3 linked regions of the Drosophila melanogaster genome follow. The protein of the gene in region 1 interacts with the protein of each later gene in a pairwise test. Each region holds a gene or a part of one and is shown in the gene's direction. Other genes may lie near its edges.

Evidence for each region.
Region 2: the proteins of trbl (region 1) and CG6333 interact in a two-hybrid assay, tested with the Drosophila melanogaster proteins (one large-scale study listed by BioGRID).
Region 3: the proteins of trbl (region 1) and CG8679 interact in a two-hybrid assay, tested with the Drosophila melanogaster proteins (one large-scale study listed by BioGRID).

What each region holds. Positions count from the first base shown.
Region 1 is NT_037436.4:20,394,635-20,404,218, reverse strand, and holds trbl (tribbles), read left to right. Parts: upstream 1-2,609; 5' UTR 2,610-2,963; coding exon 2,964-3,793; intron 3,794-6,743; coding exon 6,744-7,368; 3' UTR 7,369-7,931; downstream 7,932-9,584. UniProt on the Drosophila melanogaster protein: Adapter protein that negatively regulates different signaling pathways to coordinate cell differentiation, proliferation, migration and growth.
Region 2 is NT_037436.4:17,480,231-17,489,277, reverse strand, and holds the start of CG6333 (uncharacterized protein), read left to right. Parts: upstream 1-3,047; 5' UTR 3,048-3,087; intron 3,088-6,975; 5' UTR 6,976-7,073; intron 7,074-7,154; 5' UTR 7,155-8,412; coding exon 8,413-9,033; 3' UTR 9,034-9,047.
Region 3 is NT_033779.5:21,215,504-21,221,552, reverse strand, and holds CG8679 (uncharacterized protein), read left to right. Parts: upstream 1-3,008; 5' UTR 3,009-3,130; coding exon 3,131-5,245; 3' UTR 5,246-5,549; downstream 5,550-6,049. Other genes in the region: CG8677 (uncharacterized protein), read right to left, coding at 1-1; Atg18b (Autophagy-related 18b), read left to right, coding at 1,256-1,293.

The sequences.
Region 1 (9,584 bases):
AATCAAGATATACGAGTTTGTGTGCCTGCTTTTGGGAAATGTCGATGTGACGGGGCTTGGAATGGATAATCTAAATCAGGAAGGGGAATTGCGAATCGGAATGGCGAGGCGTCGTCATCCCGAATTGATGACGCAGCCGATGACGCACTGAGTTGTTTTTTTTTTTTTTTTTTGCTTGGAAGAGAAATCTGGATTTCATGCCAGCTTGGCAACAACAAAGTAGCTCGCACAATGGCAAAAGCACGCTGAAATTTTAGAGCAGAAGAATCCGCGAGTGTCGGAAAGGTCGGCTTCATCCGAATGTTCGAATTTAAATTTAAAATGTAACGTACTCTTGGTGGGGCTTGGGGCACAGTGGTTCAAAGGAATGGGTTACGGTTACATGTGAAATTATTTCACAAGGCGATTATAATCAATACTGTTCAACATCATAGTGCGTCATTTCAAATTTCAATGAAATATGTTTGTATAATCTTCCCACTGCAAACTGCAGTTAAAACTTAATCATCATTGCGGACCATGGTGAAACTCAAAAGCGATTTACTGGAATAAAGGTTGTTTGTGTTCACGTATATTTACGTGATTATTGCTAAAGAATATGTATATTTCCCGTACATACACTTTTCATATCAAAATGATCAGGCCTATTTAATCGTATAAGTGAGTGCAGTGACCAGAGTGAAACATTAATTGCTTGCAAATAAGTATGTCGTATGCAAATAAAATATTTTTCAAATTCAATTTGATGTCGCCACCCCTATAATTTCCCCCCTTTTCGGTTGCATTGGTGTCACGGTACCAGTATAATTCTCGTTTCAATCTTCCTTTCGAGAAACAGATGCAAGACTTTGGAAAAGGGACGGGCGAAAAGAGAGGTTTGTTGGTGTTATTTGTTCTGTTCGCGATTTTCGCATTCGTATTTATCGGCTACTTCGTGGGAAGAAGAAGCAAAGACGGACGTTGCGTTTCAAAAAGAGCGTTACAATATGAAGAATTCAATCGAAGAGATCGGTGAAAACCAATGGACGAAATACAAGCCTGCATAAACAGTTGCGGTGAAAATATTAGTATTCAAAATCCCAGTATCCCAGAATGAAAAAATTCAAAACTAAATGAGTTATATCTAACCTACAATTGTACCAATTCTATCAACGATTTTAAAAATACATTTTTCAGGTCTTTTAGTCCAACAATTCGGTCTTAAAAATTATATTTAAAGACCCTCATTTCCAATTACTAAAGATTCGATTGCGATAGTTCCTATTATTGTGACCGCGAATGTGCTCCTGTGTATCCTCAGACGGATGTCTTTAGTGGGAAATCACCTTGCGCCAGCTGCAACTGCAACTGCATCGCATGTACAGCCCTGCACCGATGCACTATATCTGCCATATAGTGCTTAGGGGTGGAATAGTGCAGCTGACATATGTATGTAGGAATCTACCTGCGACATAATGCCGCTCGGTGGTTCTTACCTGCTCCTTGAGGATCTCGGATAACTGCCTTCTGTTGCTGTCGTAATTCCTGCGTAGCCCAGTGATCCTCGTTTCGGACAGCTGCAAAAATCATGAAATCGTCTGCACCGCGAGGTAAACAGCAAGGTAAATCCACATACACACACACAAATGAGTAATGATCTCGCACAGGAAAAAATTCAATGATCGATTTGGATCCAAGAGATTGAAGCGTTATTTGAAGATTCGAGTTTGGGAGCATTTATTTAAATTCTAGGATTTACTAGAACTATGTTTGTACATCTGAAATGTCCATCTGTGGTCATATACTTAGGGATATAAGAGATCTTAATCTGGAGTATTAAGAAGACAAATTTCTTAATTTTAAATTTGTATGTATATTAGGATATTAAAATGTTTTATGTTTTATGTTTTTTTATAATAATAGTAGTTTGCAAAGCAACTACTCAAAAACTGCACATCATCATTGAATTTGGTTTAAAAATTTCGTAACTATGGGAAAACAAATAATTTCAACCAAACTTGTAAAATATTACCTTATCAGAGCAGGAGAAAACCTTAAGTATCCAAGCCAAGAAACCACAAAAGATATTTTCGAGTTATAGAGATGGTTATACGGGTGTTTCTGCCTTCGATATCCGTACCCGTACTCAATAAAACAAAATCGAAGTTCAAGCTGACTGTACTTTCATTAATTTGATCTTAAAACTGTGGATTTTATCAGTTTACTAACCCCCTCTAATTAACTTATCGCCACGATTTATTGGTGCGCAGATTACTACGTAAAATCGTAGAAGAAAAGTTTAAGGGTTGCTGTGGGTATAGTGTTCATACAGCTACGTATTTCGAATTCAGTTGGAATCGGAATTTCAGCGTTCAGCGCAATTTTTTCAAAAATAACGATGCTCTTGTTCTTTCTCTCTCTCCCAACCATTTGGATTTCAAAAAATAACGACGCTCTCTGGTCTCCCACTTCTCTTTCCATTCCGACCGCATTGAGCTAAATTCCTGCAACGGGTGTGAGCGAGGCAGAGAAGGATCGGTGCAGTGAGAGCGAGCAAGAGGGTGCGAAAGAGAGCCGTTGTATTTCGCCGTTCTCTTCGCTTCGTGCTTCTTCCGACCGCGTGGATGGTCACATTTGAAATTCAAACTGCGGAGAAGACGGTCGCGTTCGTTTCGTTTCGCGAGTTCAGTGAGCAGCGTCCGATTTGTTTTAAAATCGCCGCATTTCGTCAGTACCCGCATTGCAAATGGCCAAACTACCGAAGTAGTAGTAGCCCTGAGTTTAAACGAGAGTTTAAATCGAATTTAATCGGAGACTAAACGGCGCGTCGCTAAATGTCAAAACAATTAACAGCCAAGTACAGCCAGGCTAAAGCGGAGTAACAAAATTAGTAAGAAGAAGCATTAGCAGAGAATAAGACGAAGAAAACGTAGCGAGAGCAAGAACTGTGATAAAGTTAAGTGAAGTGGTAAACACAAGCAAGCATGGATAACAGTAGCGGTCAAAACAGCAGAACGGCTTCGTCAGCGTCCACAAGCAAAATAGTCAACTATTCGTCACCAGTCTCGCCAGGAGTCGCAGCCGCCACCTCCTCATCCTCATCATCCAGCAGCAGCGGCATGAGTAGCAGCCAGGAGGACACCGTACTGGGATTATTTACGCCCAAAAAGGAGTTCCCCAATGCCAAGATGCTGCAGACCATCAGGGAGAAGCTAATGACGCCCGGCGGAGCCTGTGACCTTCTGGCCCTGGGCATCGCAGCGGAACCCACAGACCAGCAGCCCGTCAAGCTCATCCAACAGCGTTATCTGATCAGCGCACAGCCTAGTCACATATCGGCCGCCGTGGCTGCCAAGACTCCCGCCTCGTATCGCCACTTGGTCGATCTAACCGCCTCCAATCTGCGCTGCGTGGACATCTTCACCGGGGAGCAGTTCCTCTGCCGTATTGTAAACGAACCGTTGCATAAGGTGCAACGAGCCTACTTTCAGCTGCAGCAGCACGACGAGGAGCTACGCCGGAGCACCATCTATGGCCATCCACTGATCCGACCCGTGCACGATATCATACCGCTTACCAAGGATCGCACCTACATCCTCATTGCGCCCGTGCCCCAGGAGAGGGACTCCACGGGTGGGGTGACCGGGGTGTACGAGAACCTGCACACCTACATCCGCCACGCGAAGCGACTGTGCGAGACGGAGGCGAGGGCCATATTCCACCAGATCTGTCAGACTGTTCAGGTGTGCCACCGCAACGGGATTATCCTCAGGGACCTCAAGCTCAAGCGGTTCTACTTCATCGACGAGGCCAGGTGAGTTGCGTGTCCAGGTGACACCTTCGAAAAACCCATATACACCAATATACGCCACATATGCCTGACTTATACCAACTCAATTGCATATGGCTGGCTAGTCGGTTTATTTTGCAATTCGATGGAAACTCGTTATGAGCGAGAGATCTTGTTTGTGGTCGTGTGTTGGTGGTGCCACAATTGTTGCTCTTGTTATTGGCCCATGTTGTTGTAGTTGCTGCTGCTGCTGCTGTTGTTGCTTTTGTTTTTGTTGCTGGCGCCGTCGTTGTGGGTAACATTGAACATTTAACAAGTGTTGCAATCGAATCACCAATAGGCCAACAACAACAATTATACTGACAAACCGAATGAACGCAAGGCGTACGTATGTACAGCACAGGGTATAATGGTAGTTTCAAACTAATTTTATAAGTAAAAATATATTCCTACTATGCGAAGCATTGCAAAAATGAATGGGAATAAGATCAAAAATGTTAAATAATTTCAAAGATAAGTTTTTGAAATACACCTATTATTAAACTATTAATTAACATGGTGTATTAGCTTTGTAGCTAAAGAATTATTATTTATGTAATATCATTGAATTGCCATTCAGTGAGCAAGCATATGCCTTATTTTGCAGACCCCGACTGTATCTCTGTGTACATACTCGTACACAAGGGCCCAATGTGCCACACTGATGGCCAAAATGTTGGCTCACTCGTTTTTTCATTACACATTTCGGAAGCTAGAAATTGCCACATTTCAAGAATTGTTCAACATAGCATTTGCAATATGGTTTTGGGGTGGGGATCTGTGGGCCACGTACTCGGCGTTCGCTTGATTTGTCGATTTCCCGTGTGTGAGTTTACAGTGGATGATGAAATATTGACCCCACCTTCATCGAAAATGTATTTTCGCATATGTTAATTAACACAACTGTATCGAAAACGCGCTGTCTCCCGTTCTTATTATCTTCGAAATTGTACTGACATCAGCATGGAACGACTTGAACATTTGGTCGATTTCGTATGACTCTGCAATTAGCGCAATATCTGCTGATTTTTTCGTCATTTCGTCGTTCTGTGCCAAGTGCAAAACGGCGGAAGGAAGAAACCAACCCATAGATCTCTATCTATACTATACTTCTCTCACCTTGGCGAGAAATAAACAACAAGTGTTCAATACGACTCAAATGCGCTGCGATTACTGGCGCTCACTTCCATTCCCATTTCCATTCGAATAATACATCGCTATATAGATAAGTGCTCGCTGGGTGTACATACATACTATATGGGCTATGGGCGTGGCCATATCCATATCTACATATGTCCAACGGGGCGGCCACACACACGCACAACCAAATAACGAGCCGAATTTTTAAGGTCACAGTGCGGTGAATGTCCCTGACTCTGATCTTCTGTATTTGAACGCATTTATGTACATGCATATATGCCAGTGCCTCCCATATACAAATGCGTATGCTTATGCATGTAAAAATCTCTGGTTCATACTTTTATTTTGTCTACTCTTTTGCCGTACGTAAATACTTCCAAGGTGTTTGAGCATTTATGCGGCGCCGGTTTTCCGTATTTCGTTTCGATTCCGATTTTATTTTAACCTCTGTCGCGGGTTAATGTGTGCCAAACGTATAGAGCGAGAGAGAGAGAGAGAGGGAAAGAAGAGATCCACAAGACGCTCTTCAAAGCTCGGTTATGTCGCGCATCGAGGTCAGCAGCTGTAACTATTCTCCTCATCACATCTCCACCTGCCTTCCGTGCACTCAAAAATATAAATATTGGTTCACATAAAACCTTGATCTTAAAAGTATAATTATATATGCTTGCCTTGATCTTAAATATAAGTTTATAATGTTTCTGTATCGAATGGGGTAACTAGACGATAGAGGACACAAAAATCAAATGAAACCCGAAAACAAATGTATAGAAACATGCTCTTAATTAAGAACCGTGTTCTTTGAATATATTATTTAAATGCGCTATCTCTTTTCCCTCTTATTGATTGCCCACCTGTTGCTATCAAGTTGAAGGTAATTTGTTTCTTTCAGTGTACACTGTGATTTGTGCCGAGGAGAGGCGCGTTTTCAAAGCTTGTTTTTGTTCAGGGTCAGCTCGAGGTTTTTTTGGCCTGCTTTGTGTTTGGCTCTTTGGATGTTTGGATACCAGACCGCGGCGACCGTGTGTTTGTATATCGCTCCGTTCGCTATCGGCGGAATACCCAATGTTGGTAGTGGTGCTCGGGTCCCAGCAGAAGCGCCGTTGCAGCAACAAGTTGCGATACGTCACTCCACCTCACCTTACTACTCACGCAGCTCACACAGCGGACTCTCTTTGGATCTATGCGCTGTGCTCGCTGGCGTTTTCGTTACTTTTTTGCTTTTTGCATTCGAATGTGGGCCAATGTCAATGGAGTGGAGTGGCCCAATGGAGGGGGAGTGGAGTGGAGTGCAGGGGCGGAGGCGGCGGCGGCGGCGGCACTCGCTCATGGGTGTCGGGGGTCGCAAGCTGCGCTTTCGTCACCAATCCAAGTCAACTCAGCTCAGCTCACAATGTGCTCTCTCGGCCAATTTGCCTTTTGACTTGTCAATACGCCAACGCCAAAGACAACTACAACTGAAACTGAAGCTCCGTGGCCGATCGATTCAAGTCTCTTCGATATTGCGCTAGCTAATGGCCCCACAAAATCGGGGGTTATGCAAGTCCCAGGGATTGCACATGATGTAGAGCTCGACGATGGGTCTGATGAACGGGTACAGTTGCGATCAGAATAGTGGCAGTGCCAACTCAAGTTGCAGTCATATCTACTCTTCTTTGGCAACAATAGTTCTCAACATATTAATAGAAACGGGTAAAAAAAAGACTGTTAGTTTTATTTCTAAGAAGCATAAACATATATTTTGTACCCTATTTTGGCGGATTATTTATTCGATTTTGTCATTTGCTAATTACAGAACGAAACTGCAGTATGAATCACTGGAAGGCTCAATGATCCTCGACGGCGAGGACGATACTCTGAGCGACAAGATCGGTTGCCCACTGTACACCGCTCCAGAACTGCTGTGCCCCCAGCAAACGTACAAGGGCAAACCGGCGGACATGTGGTCGCTGGGCGTGATCCTGTACACCATGTTGGTGGGTCAGTACCCGTTCTACGAGAAGGCCAACTGCAACCTCATCACCGTCATACGCCACGGGAATGTCCAGATACCCCTGACGCTGTCTAAGTCGGTGCGATGGCTGTTGCTTTCGCTGCTGCGGAAGGATTACACGGAACGAATGACCGCCAGCCACATCTTCCTTACCCCGTGGCTGCGAGAGCAGCGCCCCTTCCACATGTACCTGCCAGTCGACGTGGAGGTGGCCGAGGACTGGAGCGATGCGGAGGAGGACGAAGGCACTGCCGCCGATGCGATGGATGATGACGAGGAAGGACTCTGTCCCTTGGGTGACAAGCACGAGTACGAGGACATTGGCGTGGAGCCATTGGACTACACGCGCTCCACGCTCCAAATGGCTCAGAATGCCAATGGGCTGTCCACGGAACCCGAACCCGATACGGATGTGGACATGGGCTGATTGGAGCTCGTGGAGTCACCCACGGGTTGCATTCTGGGACACGCTGGCGCGTTGGCTGCATCCGGCTGAATGCCGACTGATTAGCCGCCGGGACTGGGCATATCGGATGATATGACACTGTGGACATCCTGGCCTTCCGGGTCGCGCCGACTCCGACTGCGTTCCACGTCGTCTTCCTGCAGGTGGTACTGCCAACAAAGACTTAAAGCTTAGACACACAAGAACTCACTGCCTTCCAATCGCGCTGCAGCCCCGATTCGATTCGTTCAAGAATCACGCCGCTCCGCAGCCTCCTCTCTGCAACCGATTCTTCCTAAAACCTACCTATGTACAATACATTTAACATTTTAATTTTTTTGCAAACTGTTGATCTTATCAAAGGACAGTCGCCCTGATTTGCTTTTGGGCTTTAAAACACATTAGTTTCCATGTTAAAAAATGCAACGAATGCAAATTGTTATTTATTATTTAATACTTCTGTATTACGCTTTGTGTACTCTTAAAATCTTGTAAGTGAAAATTGCAAAAAAGAACATAATACATTGAAATTTGATCTCACCAAGAATAATTCGAATTTGTTTCTTTAGGGCTCTGGGGTAAAAAACGCTGTTTTTATTTATTGACACAAGATTGTAAATATTTATAAATGTGTAATTAGTCAACCAGACTATGAGCTTAACATGAAGATTCTAGATTCTCAAGAAGCGGAAGGCTACAAAAGATGAAAACAATGAGTCAGGGGAAAATACGATTTTTTGGTTCTAGATGCGTCATATTGTGTACTAGTAAAATTCAACATTTGATTAAGATCAGATAATGTTTGGTCAAAAATATGAAAACAAAACTGTCCAATCTATTTTCTTCATGAAGGAGATTAATGAATAGTTCACGTCACAAAATCGAGAATTCTCTCGAGTGTCGAAAGTCAACAAATTAGTTATTGTTGTTGCTGAGATTCCCATTACCGAGCAGCAGATTCCCAACCTGATAATGCAACCCAGTGACTGGAAGTTATCAGGTGGGCGAACGTGACTTTGGCTACGGAAATATTTGCGACTTTGCTCCACAATAGCAGTAAACTAATATTGTGAATAGCTGCTGAATGCGGAGGTCCCACCACTGTCATCTGATGTGCCGACGTGACGGGGACTTTCGCATGTATACCACCTACATATACTCGTGTACGTAAGACCCCCGATTTTTGGCTCTGTGTGCGCCGTGCTCGAGCATTTTTACCTGTGGTCGAGCACTTTGTTCAGATTATGAAATTGCCGGAGAGAACGAGAACTGCGCAGAACGCGAAAACTGCTGACGACTACGCCACCTACAGATTGTGACTATCAATTTTTTTGGGCTCAGTGCCACGCATGAACTTTAACTAGAATCGCCTGATCGGTTTAGACCCGACTGGAAAATACCCATCGGGAACTGTATGTAACCGCACTGGAAATGTATTCAAATCTGATGCTTTTGTAGAGTATTACAATATGTTCTTGTCTGTCTTATTTTTGTTCAAATAAATTTATTGTCGATTATTGATACATATTGAACTAAAGTCTGAAGTCTGAAGTCCATATGTGGTCTTATAACTTAGGAATTTATATCTTTTACAATAAGTATCCTGATTTTATTTCACTTATTAATTTAAGAATACATTTTAGGATGGGTACTCAAAGCTTCGAGATCTTGAAAGGGTAAAGCCCATTGTCATGTGCAGTTTGATAAGATTTTAAAGGGGACTTATAGAACGGAATGAACGATCCAGAACTTTTCGCATTCCTTACATACCCAAAAGTCACAATTACTTTGTTTCTGGGGAATAACGAAGCTCTAATAGGGGTCACGCTACCCAAAAAAAAGTATGTTAAATGGAAAGTACAAAGGTGGACTAGCCTAGCCCTGTTACAAATTCACTTTTTAAGGTTCTAAAACCTTAAGTTAAGTACCTTGACAACCATAAAGAAGACCTGAACAGTGACAGCTACGCTACTTTCCCTGACCCAAAAATTAGTCGTTACTTGATTCTTTGTTATGGCTCTGGTTCAATTCTCAAGATTTTCCGTAAATTTCTTTGTTTGCCCTCGCACGCAGCTTATACTGTCTGTCATTAGAAGATAGTCCTATGTTTTCCTTCAAGTACCCAACAGATAATGCGAAATTCTTAGCCTGAAAAATCGTTTCATGGTCTTCTTCCTAAATCACTCCAGAAGTCATAA
Region 2 (9,047 bases), 2.9 Mb from region 1:
AAGAATGCGGGAAAAAAGCCCATCCGAACCCAACCCATCCCAACCCGGTATCTGTATCTGCATCTGTGCATCTTTATCTGTGCGTATTTATTTTGGTTTTACGGCATGTATGTAATTACCCGGGAACCGAGTAAAGCAGGCAGAAAAGACAGAGAAATGGAGTGTGTTTCGTATTCTTTGGCCGGTCTCTTCTCCGTCGCGCGTCTTATCATTATTTCCGAGTGTGTATTGTGCGCTTTCTGATTGCTCTGCCCCCTTTTAACCTTCGTATTTAAGAAATTTCTTAGCCCATTACGATTTCACTCAATACGGCGTATGATTTTTGTAGGCCTTCCAACAAAAAATTACATGTTTCACTTTCTCTGGCGCCCGAATAGTCCCCCCCTTCGAAAACAGAAAAATAACAAGAACCGCGTCGAAGAACCAAAAGATAAATGCTTAGACATCGTCTGCCCCTCTCTATTTTGTTTCGAAATATCTTTTCGGGGTTTCTGTTTTTGTTTTCCCCACATCAATCAGAGAATGCTTCGTTCTTTCCATTTCTCTTGTGGGCAAGCATTGAAAAGGGAAATTTCTTTAGCCCAATTAAATGAAAAGAAACCAAATCAGGTTATTCCATGAATTTTGAGCTTATTTCTGGTTCTGCATGTTTGTTTGGCACTGATCGTTCTCTTTGAAATTTTATTTCGCCACAAGACTTAAATGCATTATACAAAAATTGTTTTTGGGAAATACACATTTTCAAATAAACAAATTCTATATATATGCAAGTTGAAGTAATTGTTAATTGGGGTTCTAAGTAATATTCACTTAAGCAAAGCTCTTATACTCTTATACTCTATTATTGACAAACCTAAATTGCCATCCAACTCTAAGTTCTTAAGTTGTCACAAAAAGTTGTCATTTTATGAACATATACAATTTATTTATTAAAGCTGTACTTACGCTTATCGCTCCTGTTTCGCTTTCTGGTTTTGTTGAATTTTTTCATTCAGAATTTGCTACGCAATTTACGCGTTTAATTTGTTGCTGCCTCTGTTCGCCGCACTCGTTTTTCTGTTATTTCACACACAATTTTTTTTATTTAATTGCACACATAATGAACAATATTAAATGCTATATTCGTATGTTTGTGCGTTGAAGACACGCACTCAGCCAATTGAAAATTGTATTTGCGGTTGGGTTTCAATACAACAAATTTATCAAGCACTCACTGAAAATGGAATTGGCACTTTAATTTTTTGTTAAAATGGTCTGAGGATCTTAACAATGATGTATTTATTGATTAAGTGTGGTTTTAATGAACTTCAAAAACGAGATTATTTAATATGTTATTAGTTTTATTCGTTTTCGTACAAGTTTCTTTAGGTTTTTGATCAGACAAATTTGTCAACCAGTTTTTTTTTTTTTAATATTTTTATAGTGTGCGAAAATATTTGTATTGAGCGTTTAGAAATTTAATAATTTTTTTCTGTGACTTGCACGACGAAAATGTGTGGATTCAACTGGGTTCTTGGACACAGGTATCTTTCAGGGAATATTGGAGGTATTGGGAACCGAAAACGAAACCGATTCGGAGCGGAGCGGAACCGAAAAGTCGAGCGACGCGTGCACTTACAGCGACGTCTGAGCAGCAAAAACTCGAGAATAACCAAAGTGCGGCTCAATTTATACGAGGAGTCGAAAAACACAGACCAGAAGATACATTTACAGATGCAGATACAGATACGCGTTCTCTTTGTGTTAGTGTATCTCAAAGATACTTCTAACCGTCACTCTCTTACGCTCTCTCTTCGCTGTGGGGGTGGTCTGTCTCCGCTGTTATCGTTATTGCCGCTCTCTCTGCGCGCTCTGTGTGTTTTGGTTATAAAAGTGTAGTAGATTTTTGGCATTTATCTGTTTTTGTTTTATTTGCATATGTTCAATATGCACGACCCACATTGTTGTTGGTGTTGTTGTTGTTGTCTGATCGCGGCGTATAGAAATAATACGTATACACATGTGTATATATACACCGAATGTACATATTATCTCTCTCGCCCCCCACTCGCACTCACACACACACACTCTCACGCACCGCACACATACAGTTGCACCGCCTGAGTTCCGCTGCCCGTCGGCACAGTCCGCACACGGTAACAATTCGAATACGAATACGCAAAACGGTCTGGCGAACTGAAAACAGCCAAAACTTTTCGCCTGCGCCGACGTCGACGTCGGCAGCGCAGCTGTTTGGAGCTGTTGGGGCTCTGTTAGGCCCCCACGCTGTTAGGGCTCTGTTAGTTCGGCTGCTCTCTCTGTTTGTTATCAGTGGCGTGCGCTCTTTTATCAAATTGGAAAGGGGATTTTGGAGATCAGACAGATCGACCTGGGTTAAACTTTCAGCATACCGGAATATTAGAATACATTACGTTTATAAGGGAATAATTGAAGTGGTTTTGATAGAAGTACCAATTCTTTCATAGAAAGACCTTTATTTTGATTGAAATTCGACAAGTTTGACTTTCTCTTAGCTTGGCTTAGTGTTTTTTAACTTACGAATCACATGTAGTACACAATATTTATTGTTGCATATGTACAATAAAATACATTTTCTGCAAATGACTCAACCAAGATTTTTCGTCTGGGTGGGGTGGGTAATATAAAAAAGTGAAGAGAAGTGATGGATATTCTAAGTCTATGATTCGATTGATTAATTTCTTATTATGAGCTATACATTATTTTCACTAAGGCATGAGGAACAGCTTAAAGCCTGAAAGTTTTGCATTTCAAAGAAAAGTGTTTATGATGAGGAATTTTGGTGGTTTAATGTTCGTTACATTAATGCTCGTTACATTTTAGTTAGTTCCAGCGAAGTACTAAAAAGGAATACTTTTTGCAAAACGTGCTAAATAGTTTCTATAAGTTGCTTTGTGTGTTTACCAAGTGATTTTTGCGATTAAGGGTTATCTCTTAGGTTATGCATCTGCTGTCTGTCGGTGCAACTGACTTTACAATATAGTCTACAGTCTTGGAGGCTAATGGAATTCAGTTTGCGAAATTCCTCGAGTAACTCTCTGGTCGCCTATTAATATTCATATGTGCAAAGTACGTATCAATTGCATATTCGGCGCAAGGTCGTCTGCCAAGCGGCCAGATAGATAGGCAAACTGTCAGATACGCGTACTCATGCAAAGTCTGTGCGCAATAATCAAGCAAATTGAGTGCAACGCAGGCGATGGCGCAGCCGTATCTATTGGCTACTCTTTTGGCAAACTCCCATCGATATCGGCTCGATTCGCAGCTAGACGGCTAATTACGTGACATGTTAGACGCGAAAACAAGTTAAACACGCTCGTTCGATTTGTGTAATTAATTGCAGGCCGAGACGAGCGAGAGCTCAAAAACAAATTCACCTCGAAATGTGCATTGAACTTTTGCGGTTGCTTTTCTCGCCGCCGCCGGATGAATGTTGTTTTCCCTTTTCGGTGGCTCGCTTTTTTTGTAACCAATTCTAGTTGCAATCCGCTGCTGATAACCCGCAGATGAACCCATGGGTGTTGGAGCTTCCACATTGAAGGGGGTTACGCATTCTGAGTGGGCTTGTTGGTGGGTGGGATGGGGCACGAGCAGCTGATGCAGCTGATGTGTGTGTGTCAATGTTTCAGCTTGTAAACAAACGGCAAGCAAATAATGACAAAGTCGACAACGAAACTCCAAAAGTGTTCCTTATTGTTTGTTGTATTGACTACATCGCTGGGCTTATCGCTAACCGTTGTCAGATGGAATAAACATTCACATTTATATGTGTTGCACACAATGTGGTGTGGTATGTATGTGCAGTGGGGCTTCCTTATGACGAACTTGTATATTACATATATTCCTATAAATATTAGGTATTTTTATTGCTAATAAAATAAAAAGTAGAAAAAGCAAAAGCTTGCCATACAATTACTTTTACTAATTCTTATTTCTTTAAGCGATTTCCCTAATTGTTGTTAATTTTTAATGAGCTTGATATTTTACTACTGAAAGGGGAATTGGATGGGGAAATGTTCTTATTTAATCTTGACTGAAAGCAGGAAGCACGCTTATGAATTGGATGAGTTTGAAGCGAATAGAACGGATCAAAAGTCGGAGCTGGCCTATAATGTGTGTCAGTGGTGATAAGCAAATGCGGGGGGTGGGAAAACTATTGTATAAGATCTGAACGGAGTCACTCGATTCTACTCCTCGATCGAATACAGTTTGCATTCGTTATAAGGGTACTTGCCTCTGCCACTCCGAGTCGCCCCATTCCCCGAGTGTGCCTGCCATGACTAATTAAGTAACCAAAAAAGTATGAAAAGAAGGCAAAAAGCTGCTCAAATTCTCAGCATTAAAACGTGCCGACAACTTTGTAAAGGCTGCCAAAAATGCACATTTTTATTTATATTCGCACACAAGTTGTTGGGACATGCTTTTTTGGAGTTGGAATCGATGCGAAGGGTAACTTAGCTGACACGTGAGATTTGAATTTAGCATTTGGGATAAGTGGAAAATGAGAATTATCTTGAAAGTATCTTTATTCGGATACTATTTTAATATGCATTTGATTTTTGTCAGACTAACCATAAAGATTAATCTTTAAATATGAATTAATTAGTAGGTAATAGTAACTAACAGAATAAGTACAACAAGATTTCTTAAGCTATAAGAAATGTAAATATTTAAAGATAATACGTATGTTTAAAAGAGTTAGAAATAAATTCGAAATGAATGTGAATAGATGCTTTTTATAGTCTAGCCAATAATTTGTTAATTATTTCTTAAATAGTGAATTTGCAATTGAAAGTTCCAACCATCATATTAGAGTACCAGTGGGTGTGTTTTAAGGGGCTGAAAGTCGAATTCCTGCCACATGGAGTTTCGATTCCTGGACTCTTCTGCCCGTGTGAATCATGAGCATTAAGCATAAAACCGACATTTAGCTGATTGATCTTAATAAGAATTTTTGCGGCGGGGCGGGGCATTCGGGCGGAGGATGGCTAACGGATCCGTTGGGACGGGTCAATAACATTGTGCGGATGCCTCCTTCTGATTCTCCCCCATATGCATCCCCATATGGATCCACCGATGTTGAGTCCCTGAATTTGAGGGCGTTGCTGGGCTGCGCCTGCGCAACATAACAAACTTTGTGTTTGTTTCCCCCACTCGATGGCGTTTCTTTAATAACTCAGAGTCGAAGTCAGAAATTTTTGGAAGCGAGTAGGAGCTGGGGGGTTCCCTTGTCGGAAATCTGAGTTTGCTTTGCTGAGTTATGTTGCATAGGGTTCTTTCATCCGACTTGGTGCGCGTTTGTATCTCCCAGTATCTTGCGATATAGATATATCTGCGATTTGCACCCAGAACGGATGTCTGTGCTCGATTGTTAAATTGAAATTTGTCGCCAAAAACCAGCAGAATTTGCAAAGCAAATTTCCGACCGAAGTGTCTGGCCTGTTGCATATTTCATATGTTTTGATTCTTGTCTAAAGCTACAGCTTTTTGGCGATTCCTCTGCAGATTTATGCGCAAGTGCTTAATCGAGGCAAGGATACAATAGAGGGTGGAAAAACTGTGCCAAAAACAGCAGTTTTCATTTGAAATCTTCGATAAAATGCAAGACTTCAAGAATTTCAGATTCTACGGTTTTTATTTTTATTATATACTATCAAATGAGGGTATTTTCAAGTAATTATTTCTGATTTATGCGGGTAACCATATTTTTTCTAAGAATATTTAGTGCAAACAAACAAAAAGCCCATAAATCAATTCACTTTTATTTGACTTTTCGAGTGCATTTGATTGTTGCTCTCGGGGTGAGCAAATTGCGCAATATCTACGTCGATTTTTGGCCGTCTAGCAGGCAAATTAAATCAAGCTGCACAGCCGAACACGAAATATATAACCTGATTTCGATGTCTGCAATTCAAATTAAATGCAATTAAACCGAAATTGATAGAAACAAAATCGAACGAATCCAGCAAGCTCTGCGTCTGCTTCTCCATTTTTTTTCCACGATGGCACTTGACAGCTCCTCCTTCTTTTCTGTTCTGATTGCCTTTCCTTCGTCCTTTAGACATCTCAAATTTCGTCTAGCCGAAGTCTACGCTTCTAAGGGGCTTATAAAAAAAAGTATATATAAAAAAGAACGAGACAGAAAAAGGCCCTGGACTTCTGGTTTGGGTTTGGGGTTCGCCTGTCTGCTCCCTGTCTGCTGCGTGGTTCCTTTGTGCTTGGCTTAGATGCTAGTCGGGTTTGGACCTTTTTTTTATGTTGTTTGGGTTAGTCTGCCGAAATTCTGGGTCTTTGTTTTGATTTCGCATTTTGATATCATCTTTCGGCATGTGCAAAGGGGTCGGAGGGGTGTGAGGGAATGTCGCTCTCAAAGCCGAATTTTGTATATATTATATGCGGGATTTATAGAGCTGGCAGTTAGTAGCGAGTCTGGTTGATGCAAGCCAAATTAAATAAATAATTAAATTATACATTTACAAGTATGGAGTTTCCTTGCCTATTCATAATTATTATTTATATTTAATACATTATTAATCTTTTACTGTTTTTATTATCCCTGCTGATTCACTACACAAGAATGCTGTGCTATTTTTGTAAAATAATATTATACATAGTTGTATAAAATTTATTTATATGTTTAAGGTTCCACATAATTTTTCGTACTACAAAAAACCCAATTAAGTTCTTGTTTTGTTTGGTATAGTAGACATACAATGGCTAAATTAAAATTAAAAATTAAAATTAATTAAAATCAACATTTTCAAAGGCCTTGTTATCTGAAGTACCACAATTACATTGTACCCTTTTATAGCCTTTTAACTATTGTCATTAACTATATCAGTGATAACAATTTTATGTATTTGTATTAATCTCTCATTTCAACTACTATCTATCGTTACTAACAGTTTTCTGCCAAAACGATTTTAACTTTTAATTTGATTTGACTTTAATTATTAGGCAAAGTATCATTGGAATCTCTTGGATGAACATCATTATGGTATTTAAAGCTCTTGATTTATCAGATTTCATTTCTTTGTATTAGAAACGTAATCAATGTGAGTTATTTTTATCATTTTTATTTATTAAAAATTTTAAAATTATTATTATTAAAATATATGTATATATTTGATCCGCAGATGTTTTCGCTCATCTCTGGCGAAAAATTACTCTTCCTCAATCTTTTGGCTGCCGAAAAAGTAGCCAGACGAATGTCCACATGTGCCGGGTATGTTGTATATAGTATCTGATGTCTGGACTTTTATTGTATGGCTGACCTTGAATTTATGGAAATTGCATAAGTGGGAAGAAGTTTGTCATATTAAGAAATATACTGGAAGCATAGAAAGCCGAAGGCAGTGATGGTGACATAAACGACCAGACCTTGGCATTGTGTTGAAGGACTGTGAATCGAATTATTCGAGGAAGTTGCTTGAATTATGGCTCAAGGGGGTACTTTGAATTTATGAGTATTCAGGATATTAAGAATGTCTTTTTTTTCGCCGGCCAGCACCATCCATCCATCTTCCACACCCCGAAAACCAAACGAAATCCGCTTCCTGCTGCCAAATAATTTACAACTTGCGAATGCGATGCACAGGCTATGGGAAGAAAACAAATAATGATCAGTCGCACATAATGCATGCATATATCCATGGGCATATCGATAACCCTTATCAAGTGTGCGGCATCGCGGCCAAAAATATACAAATTATGCTTACCAAAAGGCAGAGAAAACATAAATCAATGGTTTTGGAATACTCTAACCAAGACAGCAATGTATGAAACTTCAAACATTTTTCCTTATTTCCAAATTTACTTAAGAGATATTAAGATAAGTATACAAGAAGTGCAAATTTGTTGTACCTACTTAAATATTCATATGCATACATGTATGTACATACATATATGGTTATTTGCGTGTGGTTGGTCGCCTCAAGTGATGGGCGTGGCACTTTCAACTCTGGTTCAACCCATACAATCATGAAAACTCTGACCAGATCTTGCCAAAAATGAGCCCACCTTGAACCTGAGTTTATCAAATTGCAGTCATTTTGCTTGTGGTTTTTATAGTACTTTCAAATAACTGAGATTAGTTGGTCAGTATCGTTACAAAAAAAAGGGTAAAAGTGATCGACTTTTTCACTTTCCGCCAATTTGAGGATATTTGCAGAGATTTGAGTGTTGCATGATTCATAATCGAACATTTATATCATAAAAAAGTAAACAGTTCAGTTGCTTATTTATTACGCAGAATTGCCTTAAGAGTTCAATTAACCATTAAATATTTTTAGAGGTGAAACAACGTTTGCCCTCACTTAATCGACAAAATTTGAACTAATTCGAATAAAATTAAGAGTCAGAACGAATTCACGAGTGGCTAAATTATTGTTTAAAATGACCAAGGGCGTGAGGATTTGCAACGATGGATTGCCTGGTTTGCCGAATGAAAGGCCATATTCCCGAAGAACTTTAGATACGCGGCAAAAGACTCAGAAGATGTCCTCCAGGCCATCTAGGAAACCATTGCAGTCTCTACAAACTGTCGGTCGGAATACGAGTTCCAGCCTGAAGCGCATAGGAAGTCCGATCTCCGAGGAAGAATTTGGTGTCCTGGTGCAGCAGGATTGTAAGGCAGAGCAGCATCACACCGATCGCCAAAACCTGGCGGACATAATCCTTATGCAGGCCCGTCGCATCGAGAAGCAGCAGCGGGAGATGAAAAGAATAAAGGCGCACTATGAGCGCCAGGTGTCCACCATCAAGAACAATGCCATCATGCTGGAGTCGCATCTGCAAAAGGTGCTGGCCAGTGTCGAAAGGGATCGGGCCAAGCGGATTGGCCACCACTGCCAGGACATGCTCGGTGCCGTGGAGAAGCTGCAAAGGAGCGACATCCAAGTGAAGCCGCAATCTTCGGCCAACCAATTGCTGATCCAGTATCTTCACTCCAAGAAAATTTCGCATTCGACCAAGAAGTCCAATGAAAACACAAGTAGGTACAGGAATATGTTGTGAATCGTATTCTTGTG
Region 3 (6,049 bases), on another chromosome or scaffold:
TTTTTCATGCGTCCCCGAGAACCAGCGAAAATTTTCGGGTGTTGTATACTACTCTGGCAAAACCTCAAAACGGGCACTGCAAACACGAGTCATTTGTCCAAGGATCAAGTTCTCTGGTCGCACGGCACTGCGAGACTTCGAGGGTGCATATTTCTTGCCGCGAGACAGCTCTTGTACGGGATAAAATCCTATTTTAAAGCAAGCGAAAATGCTTTATTTTCTGTTGTGAGTTTCAGTGTGGCCGCGCAGTCACTTTTCGACAATACTGCAGATTGCACCCATGTAATTGAAGCGAGTTGGCAGTCGATGCACTGGGGAACTAGTTTCTAGTATACTTGGCGTATGCATGAAAACGATTTTTACAAACTACGAATACATTTATAACTTACTCAGATTCGCGTTAAGACAGTTTTATTTTTAAGTTAGCGCTAGACTATGAAATGTGTATTAAATGTTACAAATCTAAAAATTGTTTTACTATTAAATAGGCTATGCAAAATTTATTAAATCGACGAACAATATAGGTTATAATATAAATTAGGAACAAAAGGTATAAAGTTTTAGTGTAGATCAAGTTGAAGTAGGGAAATACATTATGGGAAATACAATTTTGCTAAGACAGAAGAACCTTATAAGAAGCTTAACACGTCCACTGTTTTGTTCCGATTTGATAGAAAATTTGACACAACACTTAGATAATTGTAGATACTTATTGGAAAAAACTATTTTAATGTTTATATAAAAAGAAATGAAACTGACATATACACACTAAATGCACTGTAATTGTGTGAAATATGAGGTAATTTTATGATTTTTCCAATGCAAATATATGCGGATACATGTATATATATTGTCCATTTCAATTTTTAATAACAATTTTACATTTTCCGTTACACAAATGATTTAACGGTATATATGGCATTTGGTGAACACGGCTGGTTCAGTTCCCGAACCCAGTTCCAATGATGATGATTTATGTGTGTGTGTGTTGTGTGTAGGGGGAATTTGTTGATAGATAGAACGAGAAAAACAGTCGCAGCAAAACAACAAAGACGACGCAAAACAGTCGAATTTAGTTTTCAATATCAAGTGAAATCATTTCGCTTTGCTCATCTGCCATCGTCGATCAATATCTTGTGTACTCAAACGACGGGACTCTGCAACTGAATATCGCTGAAAAAAAGCATCTAAAGACCAGTGAAAGTGTAACTATATAAAAAAAATACAATCACCAAAGCACAAATCTTCAGCAGCAATGACCACATATCAAATGAACTTCAACCAGGACTTTACGTAAGTAGCGACATCTGTGCTTAAATCCTTAAATCCCGGAAGGTCACCAAAGCGAAAAGTGGCAAACAATTGAGACACAAAAATCGACAAATGAGACGGGTAAATAAGGCGAAAACAGCTGCTGTGGGGAAGGTGGACGGGGATCGTTAGTGTGTCTGTGGGTAAGCGTGAATTGGCGTCATTTTTCGTGTCGTGTGTGTGTGTAGTTTATTAGAACATGCAAACAAGCAGTTCCAATTACAATAGCATGCATTCATCTAACATTTTGGAATGCCTTTCCCGTTTCGGGAGGGGGCTGGGAACCGAACTCGGTACACTGTCAGTGGCCAACAAGCGACCGATTTAGCAGTATTTCCATTCTGATGGCCACTGTGCGGGACACCAACACTCGCACAATTGGCGCACAATCAATTGTTTATGCGCAACAGCTGATGACTAAGGAACAAATGAAAGTGCGGAGCGATAAGGATGAAATAAAATGACAAGAAACAAAGGGGGTCAATCTGGCGGGAGCGCACTGTAGCTATCAACGCAGCCTTAATCTCGAGCTTAATTAACCAGTTTCGCTATTGCACGGTACGTTGATGTCATCCAAGAACAGGGTGAGGGAAGAAGTGCGAGCAAGCCTTAGAAAGAAACGCAAACATCAATATGACTATTTGTGGTGAAAATCGAATCGAAAAGAATATAATCTGAAAAATTTGTCATAGCTCAAACAAAGCAAAAGAGAGATTTCCAATCAGTAACAAATCAAGCACGGGTGAATGTACGCGAAAACGCAAGTCAAACAATTGGCTATTATCTTTTGGGGGTTTTCCTACGATACTCTGTAGTTTTAAAAAAAAAAACTCAAGTCTCAAGTCTATCAGCAATGTACAAATTTAAAATGTAAACAGCATTATTCCAAAATTTTTTATTTTGTTATGTAATTACTATCAAATTGCTGTTAGCTGACTAGGAATTTAGATTGTACGCACAGATTTAATATATTATATGCGAATTTTGATCAAAGGAAATAATTAAGCCTTCGTCATAGGACTGCTACATCAACTAATAAAATCTTAAGATCAGGCATTTAAAGTTATATTGTTTAAGACTTCAGACTTATACTTAAGACTTGCGGTCGGATAAGGTTTGTTTTTGTGTGTGTCATCAAGATTCTTGAGTTTGTTGTTATTTATTTGATAAGCCAGCGCAATTGCTCATAAGCTTTAATTTTAATGCAAACGACCGTAAGTGCACTTTTGTCTGATCAGTAAATTTATTTTCGATGCCCCATGTAAGAGAATGACAACGTGTGCGTTTATTTTACTTAAACACTGCGTTTGTTTACTAACAACGCGAAAACAAAAACAACTGAGAGAGTAACAACAAGCAAGAGACCTCAATGCGCTATCGCATAACAAGGGGTAACCTTGGGCCCATTTTAGCGTCGTTACGCCTTTGGCGGGAACTAGTTTGGGATCCAAGAGAACAAATAGTCAGAAATAGCAACAACACGTGTTGCGCTCACTGATCACATTACTGTGGTAAGCTTATCGCGTGGAGCGTGCGCTCCAAGCCAACTATGTGCCAAAAATCAATCGCAATAATTGGCAGAGCTCAGCTTGCGAAGACAAAAAACAGGTTTGAAATGTGGCGCTCAAAATACGGGCCACCACCAATGTCCAACTAGGACTGCGAACATCTGGCAGCCTCGCCAGGTCTGCGAGTTTGGCCACACTTGGAAATGCGGCACCGCTGACATTGAAAAGGCGAGAATTAAGCGATAATTGATTGCAGTTTGAAATAGGAGCGAGAGAGTGCATGGGTAAAAATCAATACAGGGAGCACGCCGATGGAGCAGCGCGCCAACTTTCTGGCTCTGACCCTCCTGGACGCCCTGGAGGACGAGAACGAGGCTGATATAATGTCGATGCTGGAGAGGAACAGCATAAATGCTGGCATCGTGCCCTGCGATCGAGGACTGGCTCCCTTGCACTACGTGTGCGGCATGCGAAACGGGGGACTGGCCCAGCGAATCCTGGAGCGGTTTCTCGAGTGCCCCGACCTCGACGTGAATGCCTTGTGCGACGGCCAGACCACGGCGCTGCACATCGCTAGCATTTATGGGCGGACGGAACTGGTTAGGATGCTGCTGGAGCGCGGAGCTTGCGCGGACCTGGCTGATGAGGATAATAAGCTGCCAGTTCACTACGCCATTGAAGAGTGCCACTTTGAGGTGCTGCAGCTGCTCCGGGATCACATCTTCCGCGAGAGGCAGATCCAGAAAAAGCAGCAACAGCGAGTCCAGGTGGTTGACGCTCTAACCCCCAATCAGCCTAGGTACAATCACGATGTAACTTCCCCGTACTATATTAATATCACTCACAGGCGGCATCGACCGCAGCCGAAGTTTCCGGAGCCAACGGAGGTGGAGTGCGCCGACATTCCACCCCTGCCCGATGAGGAGTCTGTGAACCTGTTTGCCCTCACTGAAGCTCACCTTACCCAACTCATCCAGAGCCAACGGCAGAACCAGCCGGAAGATCCTTGTCAGCCAAAGCGGCGAACTCTTATTGAAAGCTGGCGTGAGAAGGTGGAACGCTCGCGCGCCCGCCAGTCCCTGTTCCATCAGTACGATGAGCATGTGGAAGCGATGGTGGATGATGCTATTAGTCAGGAGGACTTCAACTATAAGGAGCACCTGCAGAAAAAGCTCAGAGACGAGGACAATTCGAAGAATCTGACAGAGGATGCACCCAACTCGGGTCGTCAGGTGTTCGAGATGCTAGTGGAGCAAGTCTCTCAGGCTGTCGTCGTGGAGCCGGAACCGGAGCACAGTTTCTTTACAGCTCAGGGCGACGAGGTGGACGTGGCGGAGAGCTCAGCACGCCAGGATGAGTACTTTCTGCAAATCAAGGAGGCCTACGTTCACACCGACGACGAGAATGGGTTAGTTTTCTACGAAGCGAGATACCTACAAAACAGGGACAGGCGGGAGCCAGTCGAGCAAACTCCCAAAGAGAGGAAGCACGATTTGGAAAGCTCCGTGAGCACTAATTATACCCTGCCACTTGACTACGAAACGGACGCCCTGCGCCGGGAGTTGACACAGCTAGGGGCTCCGGTGGGTCCCATTACCAAAACAACTAAGCGGCTGTACATCAAGCAGCTAATCAAATACAAGCGCAATACGGAGGCGCTGCTGGCCGCCCAAAAACACGCCCAGGATGCGCAGATCCGATACTCGGTAGAGCTTCATCGCACGCTGCGGTCGCCAGAGGACTTTGCGAGGATCAATGATTACTTGCCGCATGAAGCAACCTCTGCAGCGCATTTCGCACAGTGTGGGGTGACAAAAAAGAACATGCGAGAGGGGCACCTTAAACAGAGCTTCATCTACATGTTGATTGATCCACGCATTTCTCGGAATCTGCCTGGGGAGAGCGCTTTTCTCGAAAAGTTCGGGGTTTGGCAGCGTTTTCTGGACTCCATTTTTTACATAGGCAAGGGTAAATGTTCGCGACCGTACGCTCACCTTTACGATGCCATGCGGCAGCACACACGCCTTCACCAGAAGCGCGAAAAAGATAAGACAAATAGGGAACGCGGCGGCGGATTCCGCACCCTACAGCCAGATGTTTTCCGCTCCCCTCCACCGGGAGATGGAAAGATGGGAAGCCGTAAGCTGGAGCGCATCCTGGACATTTGGCAACATGGCAGTGGAGTCGTATGTCTTCATGTCTTTCACAACATCTTGCCAATTGATGCATACACACGCGAAGCTTCCATTATAGACGCTCTGGGCTTGAATCACCTTACCAATATAAAGCGCGGCGACTACTATGGGCCGGCTCAGTCTTGGACCATGAAACAGAAAAAGCAACTGGGAATAGCGCTGCTTTTCAAGGCCATGCACATCTATCTGGCGGAGGGAGAATCACAGTTGTCGCCAAGCGACCTCCTCTGAGAACGGGAATAAAATGTGGAAAAAATATTTACCATTATTACAAAGTGGAACGGCGCATCTCGAATATGTTCAAAGATTGATCTCAAGATTAATTTTATTTAGAAAATGGGCAGAATAAAAAAATTGGGAAATAAGTAAGGCTATTGAATTCAAGGCAACAGTTTACAAATTTAATTCTAGCTGGACCATTAGCGGTAGCATTTTAAATGATGAGATGATTTACAAAATATTATTATATTAATTTTTAGTCAAATAGTTATGCAATTTGGACAGATTAATTTCAAATAATAAAATACGTCCATTCAAAGACACGATTTATTCATGTACTTACGAATTTCTGAAACATTATTGCATGCATTTACTTAATATAAAGCCTTTCCGATAAGGTAAACAAATAATTAATAAGTTTCCCGGAGGAACAATTGACAACAAACCTAGTATTGTCTCTTTAGTTTCATCAAAATTAATTATAAATCAACACTGAAATGTTTTAATATTTGAAATTGGATAAGATTCAATAATTGTCCTGAAAGAAGGCGTAAAGCGTAAATCGCTTGAATAATAGCGTCCAAGACAAAATTAGGTTTATAAGGTTACACACAAATTTTGGACAGGTACGAAGGAAGTCGGTGAACATCCTTGCTTCAAAACTACAATTCGGGTTTATCAATTAAAGCAATATGGCCTTATAATCATTCTGATCAATAATGTATACTTTATATGGTCGGAAACGCTTATTTCTACTTGTTACACACTCTTGTAGTAGTATACCATTTTACTCTACGAGTAATAACTAGAACACGA